Linked DNA regions of Canis lupus familiaris. The protein of the gene in region 1 interacts with the protein of each later gene in a pairwise test. Links are inferred from orthologs where the notes say so. Each region holds a gene or a part of one and is shown in the gene's direction. Other genes may lie near its edges. The genes, in order: CREB3L1, PGAP2 and FXYD6.

Region 1 (4,728 bases):
AGATGGCCTGAGCAGCCTCCTCCACCTTCTCCCTAAAGGGTGGAAGACCCCACATCTAGGAGGTGGTTGGCTCTGGGTGCTACTTTCTTGGAAAAATATGGGCCTTTTATACCTATTGATTTTGGGGGAGAAGGATTGGGGATGGCCAGGGTTGCACACCCCCCACATCTGCTCTGACCCCCACCCCCTCTACTACCAGGTGGCAGCCTTGTGCTTCGTTCTGGTGCTGGGCTCACTTGTGCCCTGCCTCCCTGAGTTCTCCTCCAGCTCCCAGACTGTGAAGGAAGACCCCATGGCCACTGACAGCGTCTACACAGCCAGTCAGAGTGAGTGCCTCCTGAGCCAGGCTACCTTCCCTCAGTCTCAACTTCGGGGCAAAAGCCAGATAAAAGAGAGGAGGCCGGCTTCCAGGTTGGCAACATCTCATTCGACCTCTTCATTTTGCAAATGGAGAAACAGGCCCTAAAGGGTCTGTGATTTATTCAATGTTCATTGTGGAATTGGGACCACAATGCAGGCTTCCCGATCCCAGCCCACCCAAGAGTGGCCTGCGGGGGTGGGGGTGGTTTAGGGGATAGTGGGAATGTTCCCACCCTGCCCTTTCCCACCGCCCCACCCCCAGGAATTACAGTAGCTGTGGTTATGGGCATCTGCTAGAAACGATTAGTATTTCACACCTGGGACAACAAATGAGTTGAGGTTCCAGCGCCCTACCCAATAAGCTGGTGGTGACTGTCCGAAGCACCGTGTAAGGAGAGCCAGGATCCACTGGTAGTGTCAGGCGTGTGCAGAGGAGGGGCAGTTGTGGTTGCAGGCTCAGACCTTTACCATCCCCTGGGTGACTGTGAGGTACGGTGCTTAAAGAGCATTGGGCCTCAGAGTTGGTCATGCCTGCCATCACCACTTGCTGACTGCGGGACCTTGGGCACATGTCTTGAGCTCCCTATGCTTTAAATGTCTTCATCCAAAAAACAGGAGTTACAGTTCTGCACTCACTGAGCGTGGTTGTCATCACAACTAAATGGCATGATGCACATACACTCTTAGCACAGGGTTCAGTACACAGCAGGCGCTTACTAAAGGAGCACATTCCCTCCCTTTTTGAAGACCTCACAAGAGGAGAGAAGAGAGAGACAATATGTGGGCGGCAAGGAGAGAACTGGTAGAGGGTGCGGCAAAGAATAGTATGGATTTCCAGAGGCAGAAGGGACTTCAGGTAGACCTACAGAGGAACTTCCTCCCTGGGAAGGAATTGTCTGGCAGGGCAGGAGGAGGAAAAGGAAACGGATGGGAGGTCAAAGAGGGAGGAGACAGCAGGAATAGGACTCAGGAGGGATAGGCAGGGAGAATGAGCTAGACCAGCAGGGCCTTCAGAGGTGGAAGGGGTGGGGAGGGTTAGAGGAAAAGGAAGTGGAGGCGTTGAGTGGTTGACTGAAAGCCACTCCCAGGACATGTGTGGCCAGAGACTCTTCTTCAGGACAGTTGCTGAGGGAGGTGGGGTGCAGGGGGTGTGAGGCCTTGAGAGTCATGAATTCATTCTCCAAAGCCAGAGAGGCCCTCTTCCGGTGAATTTGGAGGAAGAGAGGGATGTGGAAGGTGGAGGCCATGTTGATGGATGAAGCCAGAGTCTGAGGAAGTGAGGGGATGAATGAGCTCCTTGGAGTGAGTGCAGTGGGTTGCAGACTCCCAGTGTGCACCTGTGGTAGGACTTGGCTTCTAGAGCTGGCTGGCTTTCAGAGCAGGTACATTGCTCAGTTGCAGGGAGTGCCCTTTACACAGACTCTTAGGTCATGGCCTGAGGGCAGGAAGGTGGTGGTAGATCCTGGAGCCAGACGGACCTGGGTTTGCCTCTGGCTTCCAGCGTAAGCCCAAGTATCTGATAAGCTGGAAACTCAGTTACCTGTTCTATAAAACAGAGCTAAAAATATCTCCTTCCCAGGACTTTCAGTGAGATATGAGTGATTTGATATGCAGGTCAAAGGGCTTTGCACAATGCCACGCACAAAGGAGATATCCAACAGATGTGTTTTCTTTTCCTTCATTTTCCAGAAGGACACACTAGGGCCTAGAATGGGAAAGGGGGTGGGCAAACTCCTGGGTGGCTCAGTGGTTAAGCGTCTGCCTTCGGCTCAGGGCGTGATTCTGGAGTTCTGAGATAGAGTCCCACATTGGGCTCCCCACATGGAGCCTGCTTCTCCCTCTGCCTATGTCTTTGCCTCCCTATCTTTCTGTGTCTCTCATGAATAAATAAATAAAATCTTAAAAAAAAAAAAAAGAATGGGAAAGGGGGTGCCTGGGTGGCTCAGGGGGGTTAAGCCTCTGCCTAGCTGTTCCCTCCCACCCCCCCTTTACTCCCCCAAGACTCCTTGCTCACCGGGAAATCTGCTTCTCCACCCCCCCCCCTTGTGCTCTCTCTTTCAAAGAAATAAAATCTTCACCAAAAAAATTTAAAAATAAAAGGGAAGAGATTGATTCAAGTTCTCACAGAAAGTGAGTTAGTAGAAGCAGGATCAGAACCCAACTCTCAGATGCCCACCCTGGTACCCAGTGCTTAGGAAGAACTACTTTCTCCAAGTTCTTCCCTAAACAATTTTCAATCACTTTCCCCAGATTGTCTCATTAAACCACATTTCTATGAGGTTGGCCCTAGTATCCCTATTTTACAGATGAGCAAACTAAGGCTCAGAAAGGTTAAAGCAAAGGCCTGACTCACCTGAGGTCATACCAATTGGAAATGTTAGAACTGGGGCTCAACAAACTCAGGCCTGTAAAGTTGCAGGGCCCTCATCCCTCACTGTTGGGCTGGGAATGTGGCTGGGAGCAGGGAGCCTCTGCACTGAAGCTCACCATGAGTTCTCTGTCCAGTGCCCTCCCGGAGCCTCCTGTTCTATGACGAGGGGGCAGGCTCGTGGGAGGATGGCCGCGGTGCCCTGCTGCCTGTGGAGCCCCCAGATGGCTGGGAAATCAACCCCGGGGGGCCGGCGGAGCAGCGGCCCCAGGACCACCTGCAGCATGACCACCTGGACAGCACCCACGAGACCACCAAGTACCTGAGTGAGGCCTGGCCAAAAGACATCGGTGGAAACGGCACCAGCCCCGACTTCTCTCACCCCAAGGAGTGGTTCCGTGAGAGGTAAGTGGTTGGCCCTTTGCCATCCCAGGGTCCCAGGCTCCACCCACATTCTGCTCCAGCATGCAGAGAGGTGAGAAGCTCCTCACTGGACAGACTCACCCCAGACTTCTGTTCTCTTTCCAGGGATCTGGGCCCCAATACCACCATCAAACTCTCCTAGGCCGCGCCAAGACCCAGGACACAGGACCTACCCTCTGGCACCCAGAAGAGGGATTGTCTTGCTCTCTAACCCGGATCCAGCTTGTACCCCTGTCCCCTGGGCTCCCACCCCAGGAGAAAGGGTTCCACTTCTCCCCAGCCCTATCTTTGCCCCAATCTTTACCAGGGCCCCTCCTTTCCCCACCACATTTGGACTGTTCCCTTGGGCCGACCACTCTGTTCTCACCCCTCCCTCCCACAGTCATCCGTCCTTCTCAGATAAACCACTCACTGGGCTAACCCCCTCCTTTCTCATCATGACCAACACGACCACTGCCTGCCCGCCCCCTCCCCGCAAACACACCCACCAACATACCGACACACCCCCCCACCCCCGCCCCACTGTACAGAGACCAAGAACAGAAATTGTTTGTAAATAATGAACCTTATTTTTTATTATTGCCAATCCCCTAAGATATTGTATTTTACAAGTCTCCATCCTCCCTTCACCCCTCCCTTGTTTTATATTTTATAAAGTTAGTGCGGGCTTTGCTGTTCCCGGGCCCTCATCTGGCCTCCCCCTGCCGCCGCCCAAGCCGCCAGGCCTTTTTAATTGCCAGACTGCTTCATCCATCAGCTCAGCACATGCTTTAAGAAGGCAAAAGTAAAAAAAAAAAAAAAAGATGCAGCATCAATTCCTGACTTTGTGCCTTTCTTCATGGAGGGGGGTGACCAGGACCTGGGGATAGGCAGTGAAAAGGGGAAGTTGATTTTATGTCCTGCCAGGGGTTCATTGGAGAGGGCAGGGGTGAAAGGCATTTCTCCCAGGCTCCCTCTTCCCTCTGGGCGCAGGATTCAAACTAGACAAAGGATTCTGCTGTAATGTCCCCACCCCGCGGCCCCTCCTCCTGCGCTGCCTATGGAGGTAGAGAGGCCTGGCAGCCAGTCTTGGCCTTTGGGGATGCCACCTGCAAGCATCAAGCACCTGCTATGGACCAGACCCTGGGCCAGACACCTTCCGGGCAGTACCCAGCTTGGTCCTCCTGAGACCCACCGCATTTCAGCTCTTGTATCCTCGGCCTCAGCTGGGTCAAAAGTACAGACTTCACGGCAGGAAGAGCTGTGCTCGACTGCTGGGACTGCCACTTACTAGCTGTGTGTGGTAGGCATCCAAGCTTCCTGCCCCCCAGGCTCCCCCCATTGCCTCCACCACACACATCTATTTAATCCCCCCCCCACTAGGGTATGCAGAGGACTTGTAAATATAAGGGGATGTCACTCCCATAACTAGGTGACCTTTTATTGCAAAAGAGACTTAGCAGATGTCATTAAGGTCCCAAATCAATTGATTTTGAGTTAATCAAAAGGGAGGTGATCCTTGGTGGGTCTGGCTTAATCAGGTGAGAGCCATTTTAAAAAGGGATTGGGCTTTTCCTGAAGAAAACAGGCTTCTGCTG
Region 2 (4,660 bases), on another chromosome or scaffold:
GTCTTGTCTGTATTTTCTGCTTTCTATTCCAAAACTCTTATGAGTCACTAAGTGGATTCTGTCTCCTGAGTCCCCAGCAGCTGACACAAATAATTTCAGATTTGGAATAGGAAATTAGCCAGACATGGGAGTCTTATCCATTTGTTTCCAATACATTTACATCACCGACATTCCTTACCCAACTTTTTAATTCTCATGGTTTAGGTTAGGGTCCCGCAGATGAAGTTTCTGCCTTAACACGAACAGAACTGGTAACCACGCAGAAACGCTGTTGAAGGCTGCTTCTAAATACCGAAGCCCCCACCCCCCTCCCCCCAAAGGTTCCAAATTGAACCTTCAATAATAGGAGGATGGAACACCCAGGGAGAGTGATACAGTAGAAAAATTTCTAGACTGAGGCGGATCTGGTACAGGCTAATCCTAATCCTGTCCCTTCTTTGGACCTCAGTTCCTCCACCTATAAAACTCGCACGTGATGTACGATAGGGGGATTGGCTTAATTTCTAAGGTTCCCCAAAGCTACAGTAATCCAGAAATCCCACCTTTCTCCTCCTCTAGCTTTACACGAAACACGTGGGAGGGCAGAAAATAACCTTTTACTCCACTAGATCGATCTTAATTCTCAGATCTTGTGTTAAAAAGCTTAACAAACTCCCGACCCACCCATCCGAAACGCCGGGCTGCACATCTCCCCCGTGGAGACGTCAAGGCAAATTAAAGCCCGTCCCGAACGACCGTCAACCAAGCAAGCGCTGGGGAGATCCTATTCAGGGTCCTAAGACGCGGCCCCCGCAAAGGGCCCGCCCACCTAATCACCGCCAGGCAAATGAATGAGTACCACCAGATACATGGACGCTCCCCGAGCGCAGGCTGCCACGGGAGACCCCGGGGCCCTGGCTCCCCGGACCTCGGTCCCCTCCCAGCGCCCGCAGAGCCGGGCCTCGGGGCCTCGGGGCCGCGGGGCCGCGGGGCCGCGGGGCCGCGGGGTCGCGGGCCCCGCCCCCTCCCTCGGGGCAGAAGGTGCGCGCCCGGGCGCGAGACTTCGGCGCGGAGGGCCTGGGACGCCCCGCGCACCCGCCCGCCCAGAGGGGAGGAGGAGCCTGTCGGTCCGGGGCCGCCACCGCCCGGGCTCTCCACTTACCGCGGTGCGGTGGGGGAAGGGAAGTGTCAGGAGTGAAGGCCTAGGCCCGTCCGCCACCCGCCGCTCGGGGAGCAGCGCGCGGCCGCCACGAAACCGTCGCCGCCGATACCACCGCCGCCACCGACCGCCGCTTCGGGCGCAGCGCGCAGAGGGCCCGACTGCGTCACACGCCGCCTACCGTCACAGGCTCGCCCCGGGCGCTCCGCCCTCGCTGCCTGCGCATTGGCAGACGCCCCCGCCACTCTAGGCCCGCCCTGCGACTCATTGGGCAACTGGTCTTTTGAAACCGAACGTGAGGGCGGTCTTCGGGAGAAGGAGCGAGGGGGAAGAGGAGGAACGGGAGGAGTTACGGGGGGGAAATGGGAGGGACGGTGGGAGGGACAGGGAGTCCCGCCCCCTCTGCCGCGATTGGCTGGGGCGAGTCGTGACGTCACACAAGGCCCCCGCGAGGCGGGCTTGTGAGTGGCTGCGTTGGTGTGCACTGGGCGGGGTGCGGGAGAAGGGTGGTGACGCTATGCCGAGGCTCCGCCCCCCGCGTTGGAGCCGAGACAGTCAGGCTGCTGAAGCTCGGGCCAATCAGAGGGGAGGCTCCAGGATGGCATGGTAACTATTCTACCCTTTCGTTGCCCCAGTCCGCGGGCGGTGATGGGAAGGCTTCCCCGTAGTCCTGCCCGTACTTCCTGGCCAGACCACGTGCGGAGCTGGAGGGCCCTCCTGGGAGGTCTGTCTCTCCGCATAGCTCGCCTGCAGCTGCTCTGAGGCCCCAAAACCTGGCCTCCTGGTTTCCCAACCTATGCCGGCCCCGTCACAACCTTTCCTCTCTGAATCCCCAGAATAGACGCTATGAGCATGCCCTAAGGGAATGGCTCAGGGTAGGATATGTTACAAATGAGTATTCTTGGAACTTCTTAACCACCTGCACTTTAGGAGCTCTTATTTATTCTTAAAGGCCTGGTTCAAATGTTCCCGCCTTCTCTGGGATACATTCCCAGATCTGTCTCAGAGTGTTGGGCTACTGCTTGGTTGGGCAGGCCTCTGTTACAGCTTTGTCACTTTGTATCCTATTATTTACTTTTCTGTCTTCTGTGCCCAGGCTCTTTAAGGTCACAGCGGCATTTTATTCATAAAGGTTTCCCTTCCCCACCCTGGCCTAGTCCAAAACAGAAGTATTACAAGGGGAAATGTTGAGCATGTTCTAGAAACCAGACCCAGTAACTGAGAGTCCTGACACAGAATAGCAGGGACTGTGCTCAGAAAGCAAAACCTATTCAGACTACTCTCCACCACCACCTTCTCCTGGAACATCAATACAAGACTGAAATGGGCTCTGCACAAAAGTAGATGAATTTAAATCCCTCTTAGTGTTCAATGGTAGCAAGGAATTAGAAAAAATTGGCTAATTTGTTAGGAAGCGGAATGGTTGTAAAGATGAAATAAGATAATGGATAGGAGACATCTGGTAGGTGCTCAGTTGGTGTTCAAAGGAAGGAAAAAATAAATATATAGATGTTCAAATAGGAAAGCTAGTTTAAACATCTGACTCCAGCCACTTTCCCCCCACTCCTGCATCCAAACATCCCTTCCTTTCCTCCACCCTCCCTTGCCTGTGTTCTACATTAGAAAGTCATTAGTTCTCCCTGGATAGTTTACTGTACCTTCCTCAAAGACCTACTGAAACTTTGATTTCTCATCCTTCAGTCCTGAAACACAACTATTCTGGTATCCCTAAGGCCAGGCCTACAGTGTAGGTCCACATTAAATGTTTCATGCATGAATGAGTGAATTATTGTCTTAAGCAGAATAGTAGTAGAAGTGTGAGACTTTTTTTTTTTTTTTTTAGAAGTGTGAGACTTTTAAGTCAGGGAACCCTGGGTTTAAATCTGAGTCCAACCATTTATTACCTGTGTGAATTTGGGCAAATTTCTTAACACCTGAACCTGTTTTCTTGTCTGTAAAATAATTATTCCTATTCTTTAAAAATGTCAAGGAATTCCTGAGGCATTTGGGTAACTCAGCCAGGTAAGCATCTGACTCTTGATTTCAGCTCAAGTCATGATCTCAGTGTCATGAGATTGAGTCCTGTGTAGGGCTCCACACTGAGCATTGAACCTGCTTGAGATTCTCTCTTCCTCTGCCCCCCTCGACCCTCCCCCGCTCATGTGCATGTGTGTACACTCTCTCAAAATGAATAAATAAATAAAATATCAAGAAATTTCCATTCTAAATATTCTAAGACACTGATTCTGACACAGAAATGGGGCTCAAAAGTATGTTGTAAGTAAATACATTCAGTCCAAAGTACTAGTGTGTATACAGAAGCTAGGATCATTAAATAGTGCATAGTTGCAGGAAGACTGGAGGGAGAGGCATTGGATGAGGGGTGCCACAAGGTAAAAGTTCTATAATTCTGATGATTTCTTTTTCTTTTTTTTTTTTTTTATTTATGATAGTCACAGAGAGAGAGAGAGAGAGGCAGAGACATAGTCAGAGGGAGAAGCAGGCTCCATGCACCGGGAGCCCAATGTGGGATTCGATCCCGGGTCTCCAGGATCGCGCCCTGGGCCAAAGGCAGGTGCCAAACCGCTGCGCCACCCAGGGATCCCTTCTGATGATTTCTATGCAGAAAGACTTCTCTGCATATGCTTACTGTGGTAGGCATATGGTTATTAAGTTCATCATTCCTGGGTACTTCTGCCCTAGAAAGGACTTTGTAGACAATATACTCTTACTCTGCCTAATTCTCATAATGCCTTTTTGATTATCATCATCTTCCTTCTTCCCTTCTAAAGAAAAGGAATTTGGTGCGTGCTCACAAGTTTGCTGAACCAAGCCCTCTCCTGGGCATCAGGATCCCAGAGATGTCCAAAGCTCAACACTCTGCTCTGGCCAAGAGAGACAAAACAAAGGAAAGTCCAGCTCTGTGCTAGGAACCCTCCAGTCTCTCACATACATGCTGTGAGAGCTCACCCTATGCAGCTTTGAAACATTGGTCCTCAGGGAGGAGACAGGACTCATAAAGACTACAGAATCAGGGAAGAGCAAGAGACTTTGTCTTTCAGAGTGATGGTCTAGATTTCTTAAGTGGTACATTGGAAAGAGTGTCAGATTTGGAGTTAAACAGCTAAGTATGTCTTGCTACTTTTTAGACCTCGCACAAATATTTAACTGTTCTGTGACCCACTTCCCTTATCTATAAAATGGGCAGAAAAATTCCCATGTTGTAAGGTCTTGTAAAGGTCAAATAAGGGAATTTGCAAAGAACTGGGCACATGTTTGACACACAGTAAGTACCTAGTAAAGGTTGATTTCCTTCCTCTTTTTCCTACAACTTGATAAGGAAGGATAATGTTTATAAATAACATACAATTAGATTTTCATAAATCTTGTGTGAATACATTTGACTTTGAACTAGAGCATTTAGTCTATTGCATTTAAAGAATTTACTGGTATATTCAGGGTTTTATCTAGCATTTTCTAATTTGTCCAATCTGTTCCATTTCTGTTTCTTTCCTTTATTCT
Region 3 (4,675 bases), on another chromosome or scaffold:
CAGGTCATGATCTCAGGGTCCTGGATGGAGCCCTGCCTTGCCAGGCTCCGTGCTCAGTGGGGTCTCCTGGAGATTCTCCCTCTGCCTCTGCCCCTCCTCCCGCTCACATGCATTCTTTTTCTCAAATAAATAAATAAATCTTTTTTAAAAATGCCTTTGAAGAACAAGCCAATGATGACAAATGTATGGGTACTTGTTGTCCAGGATACTGATCACCTGTGGGAGTGAGGCAGAGGGAGGGGGGATGGGTTGGAAGAAAGTACAGGTAAATGCAGCAGGTGTTTGTAAAGGTCTAGTTCTTAAATTACCGGTGTTCGTCTTACTGAGCTTCATTATACGCGTGTGCTACATGCACTTTTATAGATACAGAACATGTAAAATTGAAAAGAATTGCAAATCTTAGATGAATGGCATTAGAAGCAAATTACTGCCTTTTGGTAAACACTTCCTGGGAGGCTTTCTCTCATGGGCCCCGCGGAGCTGGATGCAGTTGTTCTGACCTCTGGTGGCTGAGAGGTGAAGGGCAGCTGGGGCTGCTTGCTTGCGGCCTGAGAGGCAATGGGGGTGATCCCTCGGAGCCAGCATGGTCCTGGCCACTCGATACCAGTCCAGGGTGCAGGCCACTGCCAGGCTCACCCCCATAAAGGGTGGACAGCCTTGTGCTTTTCTAGTTTGGGCTTTTCTCCCCACTTTTCCTTGCTGGCTCATCACCACACTTGTGTAAGCCCAGGAGTAAGGTGTGTGTCATGGCACTGAACTCTGTCCCTGGAAGGGACCAGCTGGCCACCTTCCACCTCTGTCCAGAGGACCCATCCTGGGGACCCTGGCCCCAAAGACAGGGGCTTGATGAGCTCACGAGGGCATCAAAGCACCTTTGTTTGACCAAACCGCCTTCCTGGAGGAGTATTAACTCCATGAAACCTGTGGGAAGCATCGACTCGGGCACTTTAGAAGTGAGGGTGTCGGGCATCTCGGGGTTTACCACATGGAGACCAGTGAACAGCAAGCCTCCCCAGCCCCGTGTGGCTGGCTGGGCTAGAGAGGCATTCACTTACCTGCCCCATTCAGTCTCATCAAACGTGGGGAACCTGGCCGGGAAGTCCCAAACCTCTTAGTGACCTGGAGGTGGCCTCAAGAGGAGGGCGCAGCAGAGGGTCATTACCAAAGCCCTGGGGGCTTTCTGGCTTGGGCATGGGAGAGGCAGCGTGGGCTCTCAAGGAGGGCTCCCCAAGGCTCTGCTGCTCACTGTCCTGCGTGTCCAGCTCAGGCAGGCTCTTCCCCTACAGGATGGGTCAGTCCCTGCGCCTACCGATTGCATTGATTCTGTTGTAGGAATTGAATTAATGCAGGCAGAGCTCTCCTTAAGAGTTGGGCAAACGGCAGCTGCTTCTGCTCTATCACTTTCACGGTGTTGAGGGTGCTCAACGTAGACCTGGGAACCCCACTCAGAGCCCCCTAATCAGGCTGAGGGTTGGGGTGGGGAGTCCCCCATGCAGAGAATGACTTCTCCTCCTCCTCCGTCCGCAGACACCATGGAGGTGGCACTGATCTTTCTGTGCAGCATGCTGGCTCCCACCGTCCTGGCCAGTGGTAAGTCCCCCTCCAGGTCCCGACCCTGTGAGACTATAGGGCCGGGCAAGGGGGCTCTCAAAGTCTACATGTCTGATCAGTGACGGCCCGTCCCCGCTTTAGTCAGCAGAGAAGGTGCTGGAAGGCAGCAGGTGTTCTCCGAGCCGCCTCCAGCCTGCCCACCCCTCCCCACAGAGCCCAGCAGGCTTTACCGTCAGTCCTCAAGCCTTCCAGGTCTCTGTAGACTGTCGGTCTGAACCTCAGGAGCCCACTCTAGAACCTGACCTTGGTCTCTGTTTCCCTGGCTGTTAACAAGAGGGTAACAGCCCCTGCCTCGCAAAGGATGTGGATGTGCTGTGGAGGCAGACTCACACTGGGGTTCTGAGCCGAACCCCCCTCGACTCTCAGGCTGGCCCACCCTTCTCTGCCTCCCCAGGCACCTGTATGGTGCTTCCCAGGAGTCCCTTTGTGAGAAATGAGGCCTGGGGGGCTTGGGTGGTATTCGGGAACCAGAGGTATAAGTGTCTTTCTCTTGCCCACACTTGTTTCTTTTTTTCAGCAGCTGAGCAGGAGAATGAGAAGGACCCTTTCCATTATGGTGAGCTTGATGGGAACCCTGGGTGGGGAAGGGGAGGTATAGCCCCACCCGGGGGAGGGCAAGCCATGCTCTTCCCCACCTTCCTCTCATTCCATGTCTCACTCTTGCTCCTTTGATAGACTATCAGACGCTGAGGATTGGGGGCCTGGTGTTTGCCGTGGTGCTCTTCTCGGTGGGGATTCTCCTTATCCTGAGTAAGTTCGTTCCCTGTTTGCTCTGGAAGGGTGTTGTCTGAGGCTGCTAAGCAGGTAGAGAATGGTGTCAGAGCCAGGCCACACCCTCACCTGGACAGAGAAGAGGCTGTCCATCCTCCCTGGTATCTCTAGGACCTAATATACAGCCTGGGGCACATAGTAAGTGCTCAGTAAAACAGTGAAGAATGAGCAAAATAAATGCTTGATGAAAACAAACGGAATAGGAAGGGGCAGGGTGGCTCTCCTGGGGCTTGTGTCCAGGAGGCATAGGTGGGGCAGGGTCCACAGGAGTTAGAGGCTGTCCCCAGAGTGCTCCGGAGGATGTGCCCTGCATTTGTTTTTCCCACATGAGCCTGGGCTGCATGGAGCCCTGTGCACTTGCCTGATTGAGTCGACTCAATCAGTGGCAGGGTAGTCAATTGAAGCCACTGAATCGTTGAACCTTGACCTCAGAAGAACCCTACTCCAAGGATTGCTGCACGTTGCTGTGTTTTTTATGTAGTCCTATGTGGCAGCCCTGCTCTGGTCAAGCCAGGAGCGTGACCTTGGGCTCAAGCCGGGAGCATGACCTTGGGCTCAAGCCGGGAGCATGACCTTGGGCTCAAGAAGCATGACCTTGGGCTCACAGCGGGAGCATGGCCTTAAGCTCGAGCTGGGAGCATGACCTTGGGTGGTTTCTTTGCTTTTTAGGTCGCAGATGCAAGTGCAGTTTCAATCAGAAGCCCCGGTAAGGATGCCGTGTCTGTGGACATCTGGGGTGAAACTAGGAAGGGACAGGGAGGGCCCCCTGGTGTGTGAGCCCAAATGAGCGTTCTTTTGACTTCTTAGAAAGAGGCCTTGTGTGTGTGTGTGTGTGTGTGTGTGTGTGTGTGTGGAGAGCAGAGGAGAAGCTTTGAGCACTGCCAGGCATGTTCTGGGGCAAAGTAAATCTCAAACTGTTGAGGCGAGCCCCTCCTCTCTTCTGATGTATATTAGGGAGGGGAGGTAGGCAAGAAGGTGCTGGATGCTCGTCTGGAGGCCCTGGAGACAGTTGGGCTTGGGAGGAGGGATGCAGAGGGCCTCAGAGCCTCTCAGGAGGTCTACATCCTTTCTATAGGACCTGTGTCACTGCCCCTGCTTGTTACCTGCTCATGGGGCTCTTCGGCTGAGTAGAAGCTTGGGCTCCCTGTCATTCATCCCCTCCCTTAAAGAATGTACCCCATTAGTCCACTACAAAAACCAGGGGTAGCACTAGGACCTCCGAAGTCCAAAGTCTGGCAGGACACAACCCAAGCCCTGAGGCGGCCTTTGGCCACTCCTTCCCAGCACTTAGTTGTCTCCAGAGCCAACACTGAAGGTTCCTGTGAGTTCCCGACACCGCATCCTTCAACCCCAGCTTCTACCCCCTGCCCCACGCACCCCCAGGTGGAGAGTGCACCCGCCCTCCAGTGACTCAGTGGGGACCCATGCAGACTGTCGCGTGGCAGCAAGGAGACTGGGCTTGCTGTGCAGACCTCTGACGGAAGGGCTGTGTCTCTTGTTCTTGCAGGGCTCCAGGGGATGAGGAGGCCCAGGTGGAGAACCTCATCACTGCAAATGGTAATGTGACCACCAGCCCCGGGGGATAGAAGTCACTGCGGAGGGTCCTCGGACATCTCAGGGAAGGGTGGTCATCGGGCACCACGGTCTCCCTAGGGCTAAGCAGACGTGCTCCCGTGTCTGTGCCGTAAAAGGGGCCTCCAGGGCCTCTGCTCTGCGTGGCTCCCTCACCTCCCCCAGACAGGCTTCCTTCTCCCTACTGACAGCCACTGTTCAGAGGGCATCCGCTTTGTGTTGGGCACGGTACCAGGGGCCTTCATGTGATTAGACCTCACTGTCAGCATTTTATCACCAAGGGACTCAGAAAAGCTAAGGAATGTACCAGACTCTTAGAATCAGCAAGTAGCAGGGTGAGGATTTGCACCTGGGTCTGTCTGACTCAGAATCCTGCCAAGTTGCCTCTTGGCTGTATGGTCCAGACTCTCCCCTGGTGTCGGGCACGGGCACAGCTGCCTGCAGGAGGGTGGCCTGCTGGGGTGAGGGGCCCATTCACTGCAACCCATTCAATTTTTTTTTCTAGCAACGGAGCCCCAGAAAGCAGAGAACTGAAGTGTAGCCCTCGGGTAGGAAGGTAAGATTCTGTCTCTGTGTCTTTTTCTGGTCCCATCACTGTTCATTCCCCAGAGAAGAAGTATGGGGCCAGCTGGTGCGGCGGGCACCGCTTTTATTATGAGCCACGCTCTGAGAGCAGTAAGACAGGTGGAAACATCTGAGATGCACCACACATGCGCAGTAA

Evidence for each region.
Region 2: the proteins of CREB3L1 (region 1) and PGAP2 interact in binary tests that used the Homo sapiens proteins (3 or more experiments, as listed by UniProt). The two-hybrid records come from large-scale screens. The link is inferred for Canis lupus familiaris from reciprocal best matches to the Homo sapiens genes CREB3L1 and PGAP2.
Region 3: the proteins of CREB3L1 (region 1) and FXYD6 interact in binary tests that used the Homo sapiens proteins (3 or more experiments, as listed by UniProt). The two-hybrid records come from large-scale screens. The link is inferred for Canis lupus familiaris from reciprocal best matches to the Homo sapiens genes CREB3L1 and FXYD6.

What each region holds. Positions count from the first base shown.
Region 1 is NC_049239.1:43,563,776-43,568,503, reverse strand, and holds the end of CREB3L1 (cyclic AMP-responsive element-binding protein 3-like protein 1), read left to right. Parts: intron 1-199; coding exon 200-326; intron 327-2,865; coding exon 2,866-3,133; intron 3,134-3,256; coding exon 3,257-3,293; 3' UTR 3,294-3,966; downstream 3,967-4,728.
Region 2 is NC_049242.1:26,466,701-26,471,360, forward strand, and holds the start of PGAP2 (post-GPI attachment to proteins factor 2), read left to right. Parts: upstream 1-1,648; 5' UTR 1,649-1,655; coding exon 1,656-1,744; intron 1,745-3,930; exon of another isoform or gene 3,931-4,047; intron 4,048-4,056; exon of another isoform or gene 4,057-4,266; intron 4,267-4,660.
Region 3 is NC_049226.1:15,824,548-15,829,222, forward strand, and holds the start of FXYD6 (FXYD domain-containing ion transport regulator 6 precursor), read left to right. Parts: upstream 1-1,523; 5' UTR 1,524-1,532; coding exon 1,533-1,590; intron 1,591-2,131; coding exon 2,132-2,167; intron 2,168-2,286; coding exon 2,287-2,361; intron 2,362-3,051; coding exon 3,052-3,088; intron 3,089-3,889; coding exon 3,890-3,939; intron 3,940-4,459; coding exon 4,460-4,488; 3' UTR 4,489-4,510; intron 4,511-4,675. UniProt on the Homo sapiens protein: Associates with and regulates the activity of the sodium/potassium-transporting ATPase (NKA) which catalyzes the hydrolysis of ATP coupled with the exchange of Na(+) and K(+) ions across the plasma membrane.